Linked DNA regions of Stegostoma tigrinum. The main gene of each other region encodes a partner of the protein of the gene in region 3 in a complex. Links are inferred from orthologs where the notes say so. Each region holds a gene or a part of one and is shown on either strand. Other genes may lie near its edges.

Region 1 (4,561 bases), on a different chromosome or scaffold from region 3:
AATTAAAATAGAGTTTGTGGGGAAAACAATGTGCTCCACACCCCACAATGTCCACCTCCCCAAAAGGCATCAACAGCACCAGTACTCACGACATGCTCCTTCTCCAGGGACACCCGGGCACAGACATAGCCTTGGTGGAGGGGCAAGCAGTCAGCCATAATAACCTCCCCCGCAACAGTCCGCTGCCTGGACCTATTAATGGTCAGGCCCACGAGCAGATTCATGAGGCAATTTTCTGATCTGCTGCACCCAATTCACCCTTTCTATGTCAGTCAGCTCCCTGATTGGACCAGATTTACAGCCTCAATCAGGGAATTCGTATTCCTGAACTAAGCTTCTTGAGCACTGTTGGAGGCACATCTATCTGGGCAAATGGACAGTATTCTATCACCGAGATGCTGCTTGGCCTGCTGTGTTCATCCAGCTTCACACTTTATTATCTAGTATTCTATTACGCCATTGGCATATACCTTGTAAACAGTGCACAGGCATTTGACAGAAAGGAACTCCTCGTATCTGACATCCTTTAGTAGCCGCAGATTTTGTCCTAATTTTCTGTTTTTGTTTCATATTTACAGCATGCACAAATCTTTGTTTTGTTTGAGAGGAATGGAGTGGTTTGAAATGTATCTTTTATTTCAAAGCCAAAAACAGCTTTGAATATTTGAAAATCAAGTTGAAAAGCCAATCGCTAGCCCTCAGTAAATGCATGGGTAAATGCAGGCCCTGACATTACACTAAATTGTATAGAGCAGGCATGTTCCATGCTGGGATATCAGTTGGGGAATGACAACTGTCCTCAAGATACCGGAAGCGGGTTGAATCAGCCAGGGTGCTCACTTCCAATTTCTACCAGAAGCCTCTCCCAGGAAGTTTAAAATTACGTTTGATGATGGCCACGGTTATGAAAGATCTATTCGGAACACGCTATCAGGGCCACTTGGTTGTAATACTGGCACATGGTTGACACTTGAAACTACACCCCAGCATAACTTGCTGGCATAGATTCCATGGCCGAATGGCCTGCTTCTGTGCCGTAAATGTATCAGTACTACTGGAAACGACGGAATAAAAACAAAGTTGCTGGAAAAGCTCAGCAGGTCTGGCAGCATCTGTGAAGGAAAAGAGTTAACGTTTCGGGTCCGGACCCGAAACGTTAAATCATTTTTTCCTTCATAGACGCTGCCAGACCAGCTGAGCTTTTCCAACAACTTTGTTTTTGTTCCCGATTTACAGCATCCGCAGTTCTTTCAGTTTTTATTTAGAATGGCGGAATATTGTGCAAAAAACTGTGAAAGAAAACGGGGGACAAATGTGAATAACAGTACTTTGGACAATCTATTACAGAAAAAGAAAACTTACTTTGAAAGGGGAACAAAAAAACGCAGACACAAATTTCGACTTCTCTCCAGGTATCGCTAAGCAACTAGAGGGGCATTGCAAAACAGACGCCTGGATTGGTTTAGAAATCTGCCGATCAAACAACAGTCAAGCTTCCCGTCATGTGAAACCCGGGTACACAAAGAGGAAGTGTGAAATACAGTTATTCCGCTGTTTGGAGCAGGTAATAAAACAGAAATCTGCCCATTATTACATGCCTGTTGTTTGAATATGCAGAGTGAAGCTTTTCTGAAGCTTTAGTCATTTGTAAGACAGCAGTTCTTCATTTTAAATGATCGTGTGGTTTTAATTTCAGTTTAAGTCCAACAGTGGAGTGAGGAGGCACAGCAAGGGAAAATCGATGGAGGAGGAATTGAACGCAACATCAGCATTTGAGAAAGATCCGTTCAAGCTCACAGCTGAAGATGTCTACGATATGTCTTATGTCATTGGCCGTGATTTATTCAAACTCAGTAGCTCAGAAGATAGCCGTACAGTCTCCGAGCTGCAATATAAAGTAATCAGAGTTCTAGAAATATTCGAGTTGTTGGTGGACAGGCAGAACCTATCAGTCGAGAAACTGAAAATTGAACGGGACAACCTGAGGAAGGAAACGGAAAGGCTTCACAGGGAACTCCAAGTGGCAACAAGCGATTCAGAGAAAGAGAAGAATGGAACAGACAAACTGGTGGTCGATGTTAATGACCCAAATCGGCCTCGTTTCACGCTCCAGGAATTGACGGATGTGTTGCAAGAACGCAACAAACTTAAAGCTCAGTTACTTGTTGCTCAAGAAGAACTGGAATGTTATAAAAGCGGATTAATGACCACAAAGGAGCCACAAAGGCTAGAAAAGAAGGCATCTGGTGCAAATCGTGAAAGTGAACAAACTACGGTTAAGAAACTGTTTTCTCTCAAATATCGAAAAAATCATTAAGCATGCGGGACACAAGGATCTTTTAAAAAGGTTTCTGAGCACTCATACTTTCGTAGTCATAATACTCATTATTTTCTTAAACGGAATGTACTGATGCAGGAATTTTCAAAGTTTAATTTTCTAAGAATCCAAAAAATAGGTTTGTTACTTGTAAAAAGTTTTTTTTAAGAAAAGCTGTATTTGTTTTGCTATGTAGAGCAAGACTGCAAAAAGAACTTAAAAGTAGACTTAATTTCTAAGTATGTTTCAGAGATAGTTGGAACTGCAGATGCTGGAGAATCTGAGATAACAAGGTATAGAGCTGGATGAACACAGCATCAGAGGCTGACGTTTTGGGCCTAGGTTTCTGGAGAAAGGTCTCGGCCCAAAACATCAGCCTCCCTGCTCCTCTGATGCTGCTTGGCCTGCTGTGTTCATCCAGCTCTGCGAGATAACAAATTGTGGAGCTGGATGAACACAGCAGGCTAAGCAGCATCTTAGGGGCACAAAAGCTGACGTTCCGGGCCTAGACCCTTCATCAGAAAAGGGGGATGGGGAGAGGGTTCTGAAATAAATGGGGGGGGGAGGCAGACCAAAGATGGATAGAGAAGATAGGTGGAGAGGAGAATATAAGTGGGGAGGTAGGGAGGGGACAGGTCAGTCCGGGGAGGATGGACATGTCAAGGGGGCGGGATGAAGTTAGTACGTATTCTGATTCTCCAGCATCTGCAGTTCCCATTATCTCTGATCTCTCATCCAGCTCTACACCTTGTTATCCCTTAATTTCTAAGTAGTCATTTTTTCTTAATTTTGGGGCATAGCTTCGATGTGCTTATTTAACTCAACTAGAAATCCAGAGGCCTGGGCTAATGATTTGTAGACTGGAGTTCAATGACAGCAAGGAAATGTAAAAAAATCTGGAATCTAGCACCCCTGAGGATGACCGTAGAACTTCCATATGCTCATAAACTCTGGTTCACCTGGGGAAGGAAATCTGTCATCCTTTAAAGTTTTGGCAAAGATCTGTAGCTCGGGTTGTGGATGGGGTTGTTGCTTGCTCACCAAGCTGGCTTGTTTTTGTTCAGACGTTTCGTTACCATGCTAGGTGACATCATCAGTGGAGCCTCCAATGAAGCAATGTTATTCCACTCCGCTTGGAATTTATACATCCAGTCTGTCACGGTGAGTCCTGTAATTTCTGGTTTTGATCTGTATGGGTTTGTATATGGGGTCCAATTCTATATGTTTGTTGACTTAAGTATGGGTGGAGAACCATGCCTCTAAGAATTCCTGTGTGCATCTATGTTTGGCTTGGGCTACTATGATTACCTTGTCCTAGTTAAATTGATGGCCTCCACTGTCTGAATGGACCGATATTAAGGAGAGGTGGTTATTGCCGTTTTGTTGTTAACTGCTATTGAGGTATTCTGATGGCTAGTTTCCTTTGAATCTGTCGGATGTAATGTTTTTATGGCAATTGTTGCATGATATTTTGTAAACCACATTGTTCTGCATGTTGTGGAAATGGGGTCTTTAATCCTTGTAAATGTTTGTCGTAGAGTGGCTGTGGGCTTGTGGGCCACTGTGATTCCTGGTTGTCTTAGGAGTCTTGTCAATTCCGATATGTTCTTGATGTAGGGCAATGTGGCCAGTGTGTTGGGTATACTGTGTCCTCCTGTTGCTGTCTGTTTTGTAGGCATCTATAGATGAAGTTGTGGGGATATCCATTTAAAGCGATGATCTTGTATAAATGTTCTTCCTCTTTCCTTTATGGTTCTAGAGTGTTGCAGTGTGTCCTGGCTCATTTAAATAGTGTCCTAATGCAGTTTTGTTTGTGGTGGAAGTTGAAAAATTGATCCATATGGGTTGCCTTTCTGTATACCCTAGTTTGGAACTCCTTGTTTGTCAATCACTCTACGTTAACATCCAGAAACGGAAGTTGATTGTTGGTTTCTTCTTCCCTAGTGAATTTAATCTTTGAGTAAGCTGTTGATGAGGTGGTGGGTCTCTAACTTGTTGCGTTTAATAATAACAAATGTGTCATCTACATTCCGAGTCCACAGTTTAGGTTAAATGCGAGGGAGGGTGGTGTGTTCCAGTCTTTGCATGACTGCTTCTGCAATGAGTCCTGAGATGGGTGACCCCATTGGTATACCATTGATCTGTTTCTGGATGTTAAAGTACAGCAATTGACAAACTGGAAGTTCCAAACCTCAGTACACAGAAAAGCAACCCACACTGATCAATTCCTCAATTTCCAAAGCA
Region 2 (4,730 bases), on a different chromosome or scaffold from region 3:
TCTCCTCTATCCATCTTCTATCCGCCTCCTCCTGTCTCCCCATTTATTTCAGAACTCTCTCCCCCTCCCACATTTCTGAAGGGTCTAGGCCCGAAAAATCAGCCTTCTTGCTCCTCTGATGCTGCTTGGCCCGCTGTATTCAACCAGGTCTGCACCTTGTGATCTCATATATGATCCATCAAACCAGGCTTCATTTCAGGATCTGACTTGTCCAGTATTTTTATCAGTTGGAATTATAATACATTTAAAAATCTCCTTGAAAATGACATACTTTTGTGATCATACCAATATCTCCTTGTGTAGCTTGATATCATATTTGTTTAATTATGTTCTGATAAGCATCCTAGGATGGTTGATAGTGTTAAAGGTACTCTACGAATATGTGTTTTTTGTTGCTAGTCTCATCAAACCAACTAAATCATCCTAGCAAACAAAACCAGATATGCTGTTTTACTCTGCTTTTTTTCCAAAGCTGCTCAGTTTAGCCCTTAGTTATGGTGTGATGAACCATGAACATCATCATTGTCAAACGATGTTTTGATATTTGAGACAGAGATTCAGTGAGGTGGCAATGTTCTTGCAATCCTGTTCTGTGAGTTTAGCAGTTCGAACAAAGATCAATTAACTCATCATAAACTTTGTCTGGCCCGGCGAAAATTTTAACTCATTGAGGAATGGATCAACTTCTGGGGGAGAAGTTTAAATTATGGTCTTATGCACTGAAATCCCTCAGCATTTTCACTCCTCGGCTTTTGAGAGCATTGAGATCATCTTCTTAAGGTAGCTAGGGATCTTAATTATCAAAAGTTTAAATTCCAGTGATGTAATTCAGTCTCTGATACTGCATTAACAGTGACTTGCATGAACCTGCAGACCACCAGGGGCTTACAATTCTGGGAGCTGGGACCAGGAGTGGAAACACTTTCTGCTTTTCTGTCTTCATCTCTCCCTCCTCAACTATAACTGACTTACTTATTCAGCTTGCTAGAACTAGTCTCTCAAACTTTGTGATTGCCGATATTTTGCTGGGGTAAAAGGGCAACATTGCCCATCCCTAAATGCCCACAAGGCAGTTGAGAGTTAACCGCTTTGTTATGGATCTGGAGTTACATGTAGGCCTGGCTGGGTGAGGATGGCGGTTTCCTTCCCTGAAGGACTTTGTGAGCCAGATGGATTTTCCCACCAATCAACAATCATCTAATGGCCATCTGTAGATTCTTAATTTCTGATATTTTTATTGAATTTAAACTCCACCATCTGCCATGACGGGATTCAAATATTAGCTGAGTTTTTGGATTAATAGTCTAATGGTAATACTACTAGGCCATGGCATCCCTGCATTAATAAATCTCTGGATTTAAGATTGGCTGTAGACTTGAAGCTTATTTATCTCTTTTCTTTCAGTCTTTCCTGAGAGTATTTCATTGCTTAGCTTTTGTCGCCTGGAGTTAATTATTACGGGGCAATAACAAATGAAGCTGGTTCTTATTACAGCCTGTGTCTGACTGGCCAAGGGTCAAAGCGTCTCTCGGTGTGTCCTTACGTCAGTAAAAAGCTGCAGCTGAGGACTGAGAGTATGAGGTGCTTGTGTCTGTTATTAGTTACGACCAACCAACTCACTTCCAAAAACGTTTCCAAGTTTGTTTTTGCTGTGCAAATTTTCCATTGCCTTATTATGCGGGAAGCCAAAACAAGGAAACAGAGTTAGGGACTGCAAGATGGAGCCGGGATCAAGAGGAGTTCACACTCTGGGAGGTCTCATAAACAGGGTTATGAGGTAAATGCAGCTGATTTCAATTTCCAGAGAATGAATCTGGACTTGGCGATGACAGGAGAAACAGTTCAAGGGGATTGCACCACCTCTGCCCCTCACATTCCTGCAGGACCTCTCAGCAGGTGTACACAGCCCTGTCCGGATGGTACAAAGTTTCTGGAATCTTGCACAATGCTAAACAGTGAAGAGCAGTCAACCATTGACAGGTAGGAAATATTGTGAAATAAACACAGAGCGGGGAGATTTGGGGAGGGGGTATAAAGTATAATTGCTTCTTATGCACTGTCGTGTTTTCAGACCAGAGTCTGATCAATACTGTCAGTCAAAGTAATGCGGGGACATTCCACAGTCCTAAGTCACCAAACTGTGTGGCAACAAAATTACACAGAGTGGCTTCTGAAATACAAATGGAACAATAATCAGTTCAAAGCCCACTTTTAATCTGGCCACGACGTCTCTGTTGAGAAGATTGAGATAATGTTGAAGGAAGCCTGAGCACTGCAGGAAGATTTTTTAATCAATTAGAGATGTGGAGAAGTTTGTTTTTCAAATGCTTGAGGAAGAGGAATACATAAATAAATAAAACACCTGAGCCACACAGGAATTTGTAGTTTCACTGTGGGAAATAATGCAGGACAAGTCATTGAAACAGAAGGCAGTGTTGAAGGAAAGACTAAATAAATTATATTATCATTTTACATGTGAAGATTCGACAACTGCTTTTGATCTGCAGTGTGGAAAATTGCATATGCCACTGATCCTATACAAACTCTAGGATATTCACTGCGACTAGAAATGACAGAGTCAGCAGGTGACAGATAATGCTGTAAGTGAGCAACTTATTTACACTAATGTGTAGCATAGCACCACAGAATGCCTCAACACAGACAAGCAAAGACATTCTATATCATATATATTGTCAACTAAATGGGAGGTATTCCATATGCATCAAGAAAAGGAGGCAATGGGATTTCTGCAGAAAATCAGTGTTCAGTTTCACACCAGGATAGTCTAGAACATTTACAAGAGGAACCTGGCTCCACAGAAGATGGCAGCCACACAGCACAGTCAAGCAACAGCAAGGTGTTCCCACATTAGAAATAGTGAGACAGAAGAAAATAACATTTAACAGTACCAGAGTACTCTATCTAAAGATTATCAGTGCTATATGTTGGCAACAGAGTATGTAACTAGAGAATTATTAAGGCTAGATATCCTTCCTAATGCAGATAAAGCAGTTATGGAGGAAATGTCTGATTCTAATGCTTCTTACTGTAAACTTTAACCAAGTCTGGGACTCAGAATACTACCTGGGACTTCCTTCTTGATGCCCCAACTGTGACATAGGTGGAGTCCTCACAATATCATTGTCTGTACGAGAAAACCCTCATGTGGAAGTAATGCCACTACCTATAGAGAGAATCACTTTTTACCCAAGGACAATCTTAATTGCTTCATCTTTGGAATAATCTTTAAAATAAATGCTCATTCTTCTTGTGGTCTACCTGACTCGACGGGGTGGGGGAGTGTGTGTGTGGTGAAGGTGTGGAGTGATGTTGTCGCACTGGATGATACAGCTATAAACCCTTTACATCAGGGATGACACTCATTCTATTATGAGCCTTGATGAGTAAAATTGGTAATTTTGTACACAGCATATTTAAGTAGATCATATTCCCTCTTAGCGCTGAACTGAGAATGTCCTTGCTTATTTATTATATAAATCTTGGAGACAACAATTGTTGGGGGCCTGACTCCAACTCACAGAGATACAATGCCATTTTCCAACTCACTGCACCACTAAGAAATTTAACATGGTTTGGCGAGTTTTGAGAAGATTAACATGGTTTGGTATATTTCAATAGAAATAGGTACAAACTTGCACAGCTAGAGAAGAAATAGATTCGTTGAGCAAAGACTCATTAAGTGTTATTTCCTGTGAGGTAAAGTAAGATATACTAGATATTTTATATCTAGAACTATGTAAAATCTTTCAATTCAGCAACTGGCCATTCAGCGGCACAAATCTTTTGCCAGTGTTTATGTTCTACACAAGCCTCTTTCCCAACCCAATTCAGCTGTCCTATACCCTTTTTATTTCTCTCTACTCTTATACTTATCTAGCTTTCCTTTAAATGTATCTACACTAATTGCCTCACCGTTTCATGTGGTAGCATACTTCGTACTGTAAAAGAATATCTAAAGCAACCTAAAGCTTAAAACACTTGCAATAAACTGTAGTTTGAGGAGGTTTCTGGCTGAATTATACATTAGACAAAATGTGCCATGTGCTCTGAGTGGCTGGAGCAGTGGAATGTAATGTACAATGTTCACTCAGTTGATTATTTAGGGAAATGCGCCCTCAGTGTTGCATGTGGTGGTAATCTGAACTGTAGGCAATATAGTTTTGTGGCTTTCCAAAGGATGAAAGGAGGGTTGAAACCTGTTGCCTGGATTCTGAACTTTATTGCTGGATGAGGAGAAAAGATTCAAAAAGTATATCTATATAAATTGAGGTTTAATAGTTGCTCTTCACAATAGGCAAATAGCCCCAAGTTCACCTTGGCCAATGCTGTGTTGTCCTTATTCAAACAAATGGGTTAACTCTCTGTCATTCACTGAGCTTTGGCCTGCAACCAATATAAACATATACAATGGACTGCAAGTTCTTTTCAGATATCCTAATCTGTTCCCTTGCAAATAGAAACCTTATTCAGAGTCATTTGTGCTCTAAGTATTACTATGAAGTGTAAAGTCTAAGCAAACATAAGATCATCAAAGATTAACTTTGAGGAGAAAAGTAATCTGATAATGGGCACATTCTAAATGCTGTGAATTTGATAACTTTTACTGTCATTAGAATTTTTTTATTCCTGTACTTTCACTGCTGTTACAGTTTCCCAGTGATCATTTAATTGGAGGGAATTACTGATGTGATATTGAGCTATGTTGATCA
Region 3 (4,730 bases):
TGAGCTCTGCTGAAAAGCAGGAATGCTCAGAGTTCAGATACTCTGGCCACTGTGCAGCATCAGGTCCTTTCACTTCCGGAGTTGAATGCACACTGTTTTCATGGATAATGCTACTGAATGCTGAAGGGCGCGAACTGTCCAAAATAGTCACTGGGGCCTTTCCCGTAGATTCTTCATCTACGTTGGCAGCAAATGGGATCTCTGGTAGATCTGCTTCTGGTTCCATCGCCATTACAGCACAGTAGAAAGTAGGCCCTGTAATTCAAAAAAAAGTCAAAATCTAAGAAATAGCAATGATCTCTGAGATACAAACTTCTTTGTTAAGCATACTGTTTGGTTTTACAAAGACATGACAGCTGTCTTCTGCAAACATTTCACTCCAGGAAGAGTCACACAGACTCGTCATAACACATTTAACATATTTGCATGTATAAGTTACAGAAAAATAAACTCCAACCTTCTTTAACGTTTTGTACAAAGTAACATAGCACTTACAACCTGGCTCATATCACAGAACAAATTGTCAAAAGGAATTTCACAGGTGCGAGAAAAAAAACGGATATTGAGCCAAAGAAAAAGCTAATCAGAAAGATAACCAATGGGCCAATTAAAAAAAAGGTTATCCTAAGGGTCTTAAAGGGCGATTGGAGAGATCTAAGGAAGGAAACCCAAAGTTACTAAGTCTTACCAGACTAATGGTACAGCCTTCAACGAGGGTGAAAAGTGGACCCCACATTATGAATTCCTCATCTTCACTGATAGTTATTACCTGGGCTTAGATTGTTGAGGTCCCAAGGCTGGGACATCAGAATTCCAACATATAGGATACTTTAAACATTTCATGTGCACAAGATGAGATTGCTTCACATAACCTTTTGTTGAAGTTCCAGTGACACCAGATTACAATTTAAAATAAACAATCTCAGCAAGAACTACGCTAATGACTGTCAGGAGGGAGAATTCCTCATCGGTCTCTGTCTCTGAGAGGACGATTCCTCACTCTGGGGGCCGGGAGAAGGGAGTATTCCTCATTAGGTCCTAAACCCGGGCAGGAGGCGTGCGTGTCTGGGCCCTCAACTGGTGGCGTTGTGTATGTGTGTGACTGGGGGAAGGGGCTGTTCCTCACTGACCTTTGCGGCCTGGCGCTGATGCAGCGGGCGAGAGGAGCCCCAGGTACAAGCTCAGTTCTCGGCCTCTTCCCACAGCCCCAGGCCCCGCTCCGGTTCACACAAACAGGCCACACTCTCATTCACCGTGACCTCACTTCCGCAATCTCGGGGGGAGGGGGGCGGGAATACAAGGAGCTGTCGATAAAGACAAGAGGTGCCGCTCTGTGACTCTAGGAAGTCGAGCCGGTCCCCTAGGCTCCTAAATATTTCCATTCATCCCAAGTCACAGGAAGTGATAAGAGCTGAGCGAGATCGAAGGCTGTACTCAGCAGCCTGTCATTACCAGCTTAGAAGCCGCGGTTCAGCCGCCGACGCTGACTGTTCCCAGCGGAAACGGTTGTCACGGCGAGAAGGGAGCCCATTTGTGATTGACAACGGGACTAGCCAATAATTATCCAACTTGTGGGCGGGGTCTGCCTCATTGCCCAATCAGCTGTGCAGTCTTTCCGATATGGGCCAATGAGTGGCTGGAAGGCGGGACATCCGGCGGAGCGGGGCGCGGGAGGCGGCCATGGCGAAGACCTACGATTATCTCTTCAAATTGCTGCTGATCGGCGACAGCGGCGTCGGCAAAACGTGTGTTCTCTTCCGCTTCTCAGAGGACGCCTTCAATACTACCTTCATCTCCACGATCGGTACGGATTGGAGAAATTGAGGCCTGGGAAGGGTTTACTGTATCGGGGCCTAGCGGTTGGTTCCGGGATAGAGAAGCCGCCTGCCTGGGTCTCCATCCCCCTTTGCCTTGTCTCTCCACCACCTCCTCTACTCTGGGAGTATGAGGACCGGCGTGTCAGATTCCAGCCACTGGAATACCGGATATTTCTGCCAGGACCTGTCAACGCGTTGGGGGATAATTGCCCGCTTCCCGCCCCTCTTACACCTCAGTTCTGTCAGCGGTTAGGTTATGTATGACCTGGTTCTGTTTTGTCTGGCGGGCGAGATTCGTTTCCCTCATTCTTGTGCGCTCTTTTATTTTGTTTTCATTACTTTTTTCAAAGTTTAAAAACACCATTTTATGTTTCAAACCAAATTTGTAGGACCTACACACTATATTTAAGTCCCTTGAATGTGTATCATGACAAGGTTTCCCGCTGTAGGATGGTTTAGGTTGGTGGCATAGTATGCTGTACAGCCTAAACGTGTAGGAAGTGATAGACACGGCTGGCAGTTTAGTTGACCACATATGAGGGATTGATAGATGGCAAGGTGTGGAGCTGGATGAACACAGCAGGCCAAGAAGCATCTTAGGAGCAGGAAAGCTGTTATTTCGGGCCTAGACCCTTCATCAGAAATGGGGGAGGGTAAGAGGGTTCTGAAATAAGTAGAGAGAGAGAGGAGGTGGATCGAAGATGGATAGAGGAGAAGATAAGAATATAAGACATAGGAGCAGGTGGAGAGGAGACAGACAAGTTAAAGAGGTGGGGTTGGAGCCTGTAAAGGTGAGTGTAGGTGGGGAGATGGGTCAGCCCAGGGAGGACAGACAGATCAAGGGGGCGGGATGAGGTTAGTAGGTAGGAAATAGGGGCGTGGAGAAGAGGATAGGTGAGAGGAAGAACAAGTTAGGAAGGCAGGGACGAGCTGGACTAGTTTTGGGATGTGGTGGGGGGAGGGGAGATTTTGAAGCTTGTGAAATCCACATTGATACCTTTGGGCTGCAGGGTACCCAAGCAGAATATGCGTTGCAGTTCCTGCAACCTTTGGGTGGCATCGTTGTGGCACTGCGGGAGGCCCAGGATGGACATGTCATCTGAGGAATGGGAGGGGGAGTTAAAATGGTTCGCGATCGGGAGGTGCAGCTCTTTATCGCGAACCGAACGTAGCTGTTCAGCAAAGCAGTCTCCAAGCCTCCACTTTGTTTCCCCGATGTAGAGGAGGCCGCAACTGGAACAGCGATGCGGTATACCACATTAGCAGACGTGCGAGTGAACCTCTGCATCCCGCCCCCTTGACTTGTCCGACCTCCCTGGACTCCTCCCTACACTCACTTTACAGGCTCCATTCCCTCCTCTTTAACTTGTCTGTCTCCTCTCCACCTATCTTCTCCTCTATCCATCTTCGATCTGCCTCCCCGTCTCTCGCTGTTTATTTCAGAACCCTCTTCCCCTCCCCCATTTCTGATGAAGAGTCTAGGCCCGAAATGTCAGCTTTCCTGCTCCTAAGATGATGCTTGGCCTGCTGTCTTCATTCAGCTCCACACCTTGTTATTTCGGATTCTCCAGCATCTGCAGTTTCTATTATCTATGGGGGATTGCTGCTCGTTTTACAAGCTTTAATGTTGCTTTTGGAGCATAGGGTAGGGATACTATAGTGCAAAGGGAGGCTGAGAGTTAAGTGAAACCTTGTCTAGACATGCATTTCATTGTTAGAAGAAGGGAAGCAGCAGTTAGTCAGTAAATCCCCACAGTGTAACTCTAGAATAGATATTCTGTATTGGGAAATGGTGAGAGTGACAGTTCCTTGGGGGAATGCGTTTGGAGCCAAGCAGCCCAGAAGAGGAGCAGACAAAGTAAGAGCAATAGCAATAGGAGACTCAGTAATGAGGGATGCAGTCTGACACTTCTGTGCTGTAGATGTGATTTGAAGATGTATGGCGCTTCCCTGGATCCAGGTTCATGGATGCCACCTCTGCAAGCGGTTCTGAAGTGGGAGAATGCACAGCCACAAGTTGTGGTTTACCTTGATGCCAGTGACATTGGCAGAATGAAGGATAAGGTTCTGCATCAAGAATTTAGGGAGGTAGGTAGCAGATTGAAAAACAGGACCTCAAAGGTTGTAATCTCTGGATTACACCGATGGCCATGTACTAGTGAAAAGAAGAATAGCTGGTAGAGGGGATGAATGTGTGGCTGAAGAGTTGGAGCAGAAGAGAACACTTGAGATTCTTGAATCACTGGGTCTGTTTCTGGGGAAGGCTGCAAATGAACCACAATGGGACTAAGATCATTGCAAAGAGGTTTGCTAGAGCTGTTTGTGAAGGTTTAGACTCAGTTGACAGGGGAATATGATTTGGGGTGGTGTTGTACAGAAAAAATGTAGCAAAGTCATGCCAGGCAGGGCACGAGAGAACTCGGCAGGGCACGAGGGAACTCAGCAAGGCTAATGGCATTTCCTTTCATGCAAGGAGTCTTATGAGTAAGGCAGATGAGTTGAGAATGCTCAATTGTTTGGCTGAATTGGCTGGATGAGTGGTTTGTAATGCAAAGTAAGGTCAGCTGCATAGATTTGATTTTTGCACTAGGTGAGGTCATAAAGGTCCTGCCTTCTCAACCTCCACTCTCACCTAAAGTGTGATGACCCTCGGGTTAAATTCACCACCAGTTGTTTTTCCTCTTTCTCTCTGTCAGTCATGAGAGAGCAGCCCTTTGTTCTGCTGGGAGTATGATGACCTTCCCTTTTATGTCAACCTTAACATGTTGAAGGTTTAGTGTAGTCATGGCTTGGACAATAGAAATAAAGATTCTGAATTGAGCAGGTTAGTTTCACAAGTATAATGCTGGCTCTGGCCAAAGTAGATTGGGAGAAATTACTGAAGTGTGAACTTTCCAAAAAGTAAAGAGTGGG

The links.
Region 1: the proteins of rab8a (region 3) and rilpl2 are in contact, whole or in part, in a crystal structure (PDB 6SQ2), measured with the Homo sapiens proteins. The link is inferred for Stegostoma tigrinum from reciprocal best matches to the Homo sapiens genes RAB8A and RILPL2. Residues at the interface, in NP_005361.2 of Homo sapiens: Ile41, Gly42, Ile43, Asp44, Phe45, Lys46, Ile47, Lys58, Trp62, Phe70, Ile73, Tyr77; in NP_659495.1 of Homo sapiens: Leu135, Leu138, Arg139, Leu142, Gln143, Arg145, Asn146, Lys149, Ser150, Leu153, Glu157.
Region 2: the proteins of rab8a (region 3) and guanine nucleotide exchange factor for Rab-3A-like are in contact, whole or in part, in a crystal structure (PDB 4LI0), measured with the Homo sapiens proteins. The link is inferred for Stegostoma tigrinum from reciprocal best matches to the Homo sapiens genes RAB8A and RAB3IL1. Residues at the interface, in NP_005361.2 of Homo sapiens: Lys10, Phe33, Ser35, Phe37, Ile43, Asp44, Phe45, Lys46, Ile47, Gln60, Trp62, Thr72, Ile73, Thr75, Ala76, Tyr77, Arg79; in NP_037533.2 of Homo sapiens: Arg104, Glu108, Leu111, Glu112, Thr115, Ala116, Phe119, Glu120, Ala122, His123, Arg127.

What each region holds. Positions count from the first base shown.
Region 1 is NC_081395.1:4,467,350-4,471,910, reverse strand, and holds rilpl2 (RILP-like protein 2), read left to right. Parts: upstream 1-1,383; 5' UTR 1,384-1,564; intron 1,565-1,696; 5' UTR 1,697-1,741; coding exon 1,742-2,317; 3' UTR 2,318-3,429; downstream 3,430-4,561. UniProt on the Homo sapiens protein: Involved in cell shape and neuronal morphogenesis, positively regulating the establishment and maintenance of dendritic spines. Plays a role in cellular protein transport, including protein transport away from primary cilia.
Region 2 is NC_081370.1:18,134,809-18,139,538, forward strand, and holds the start of guanine nucleotide exchange factor for Rab-3A-like, read left to right. Parts: upstream 1-1,533; 5' UTR 1,534-1,807; coding exon 1,808-1,980; intron 1,981-4,730. UniProt on the Homo sapiens protein: Guanine nucleotide exchange factor (GEF) which may activate RAB3A, a GTPase that regulates synaptic vesicle exocytosis. Promotes the exchange of GDP to GTP, converting inactive GDP-bound Rab proteins into their active GTP-bound form.
Region 3 is NC_081383.1:45,604,370-45,609,099, reverse strand, and holds the start of rab8a (ras-related protein Rab-8A), read left to right. Parts: upstream 1-1,304; 5' UTR 1,305-1,680; coding exon 1,681-1,804; intron 1,805-4,730. Other genes in the region: E3 ubiquitin-protein ligase arkadia-A-like, read right to left, coding at 1-232. UniProt on the Homo sapiens protein: The small GTPases Rab are key regulators of intracellular membrane trafficking, from the formation of transport vesicles to their fusion with membranes.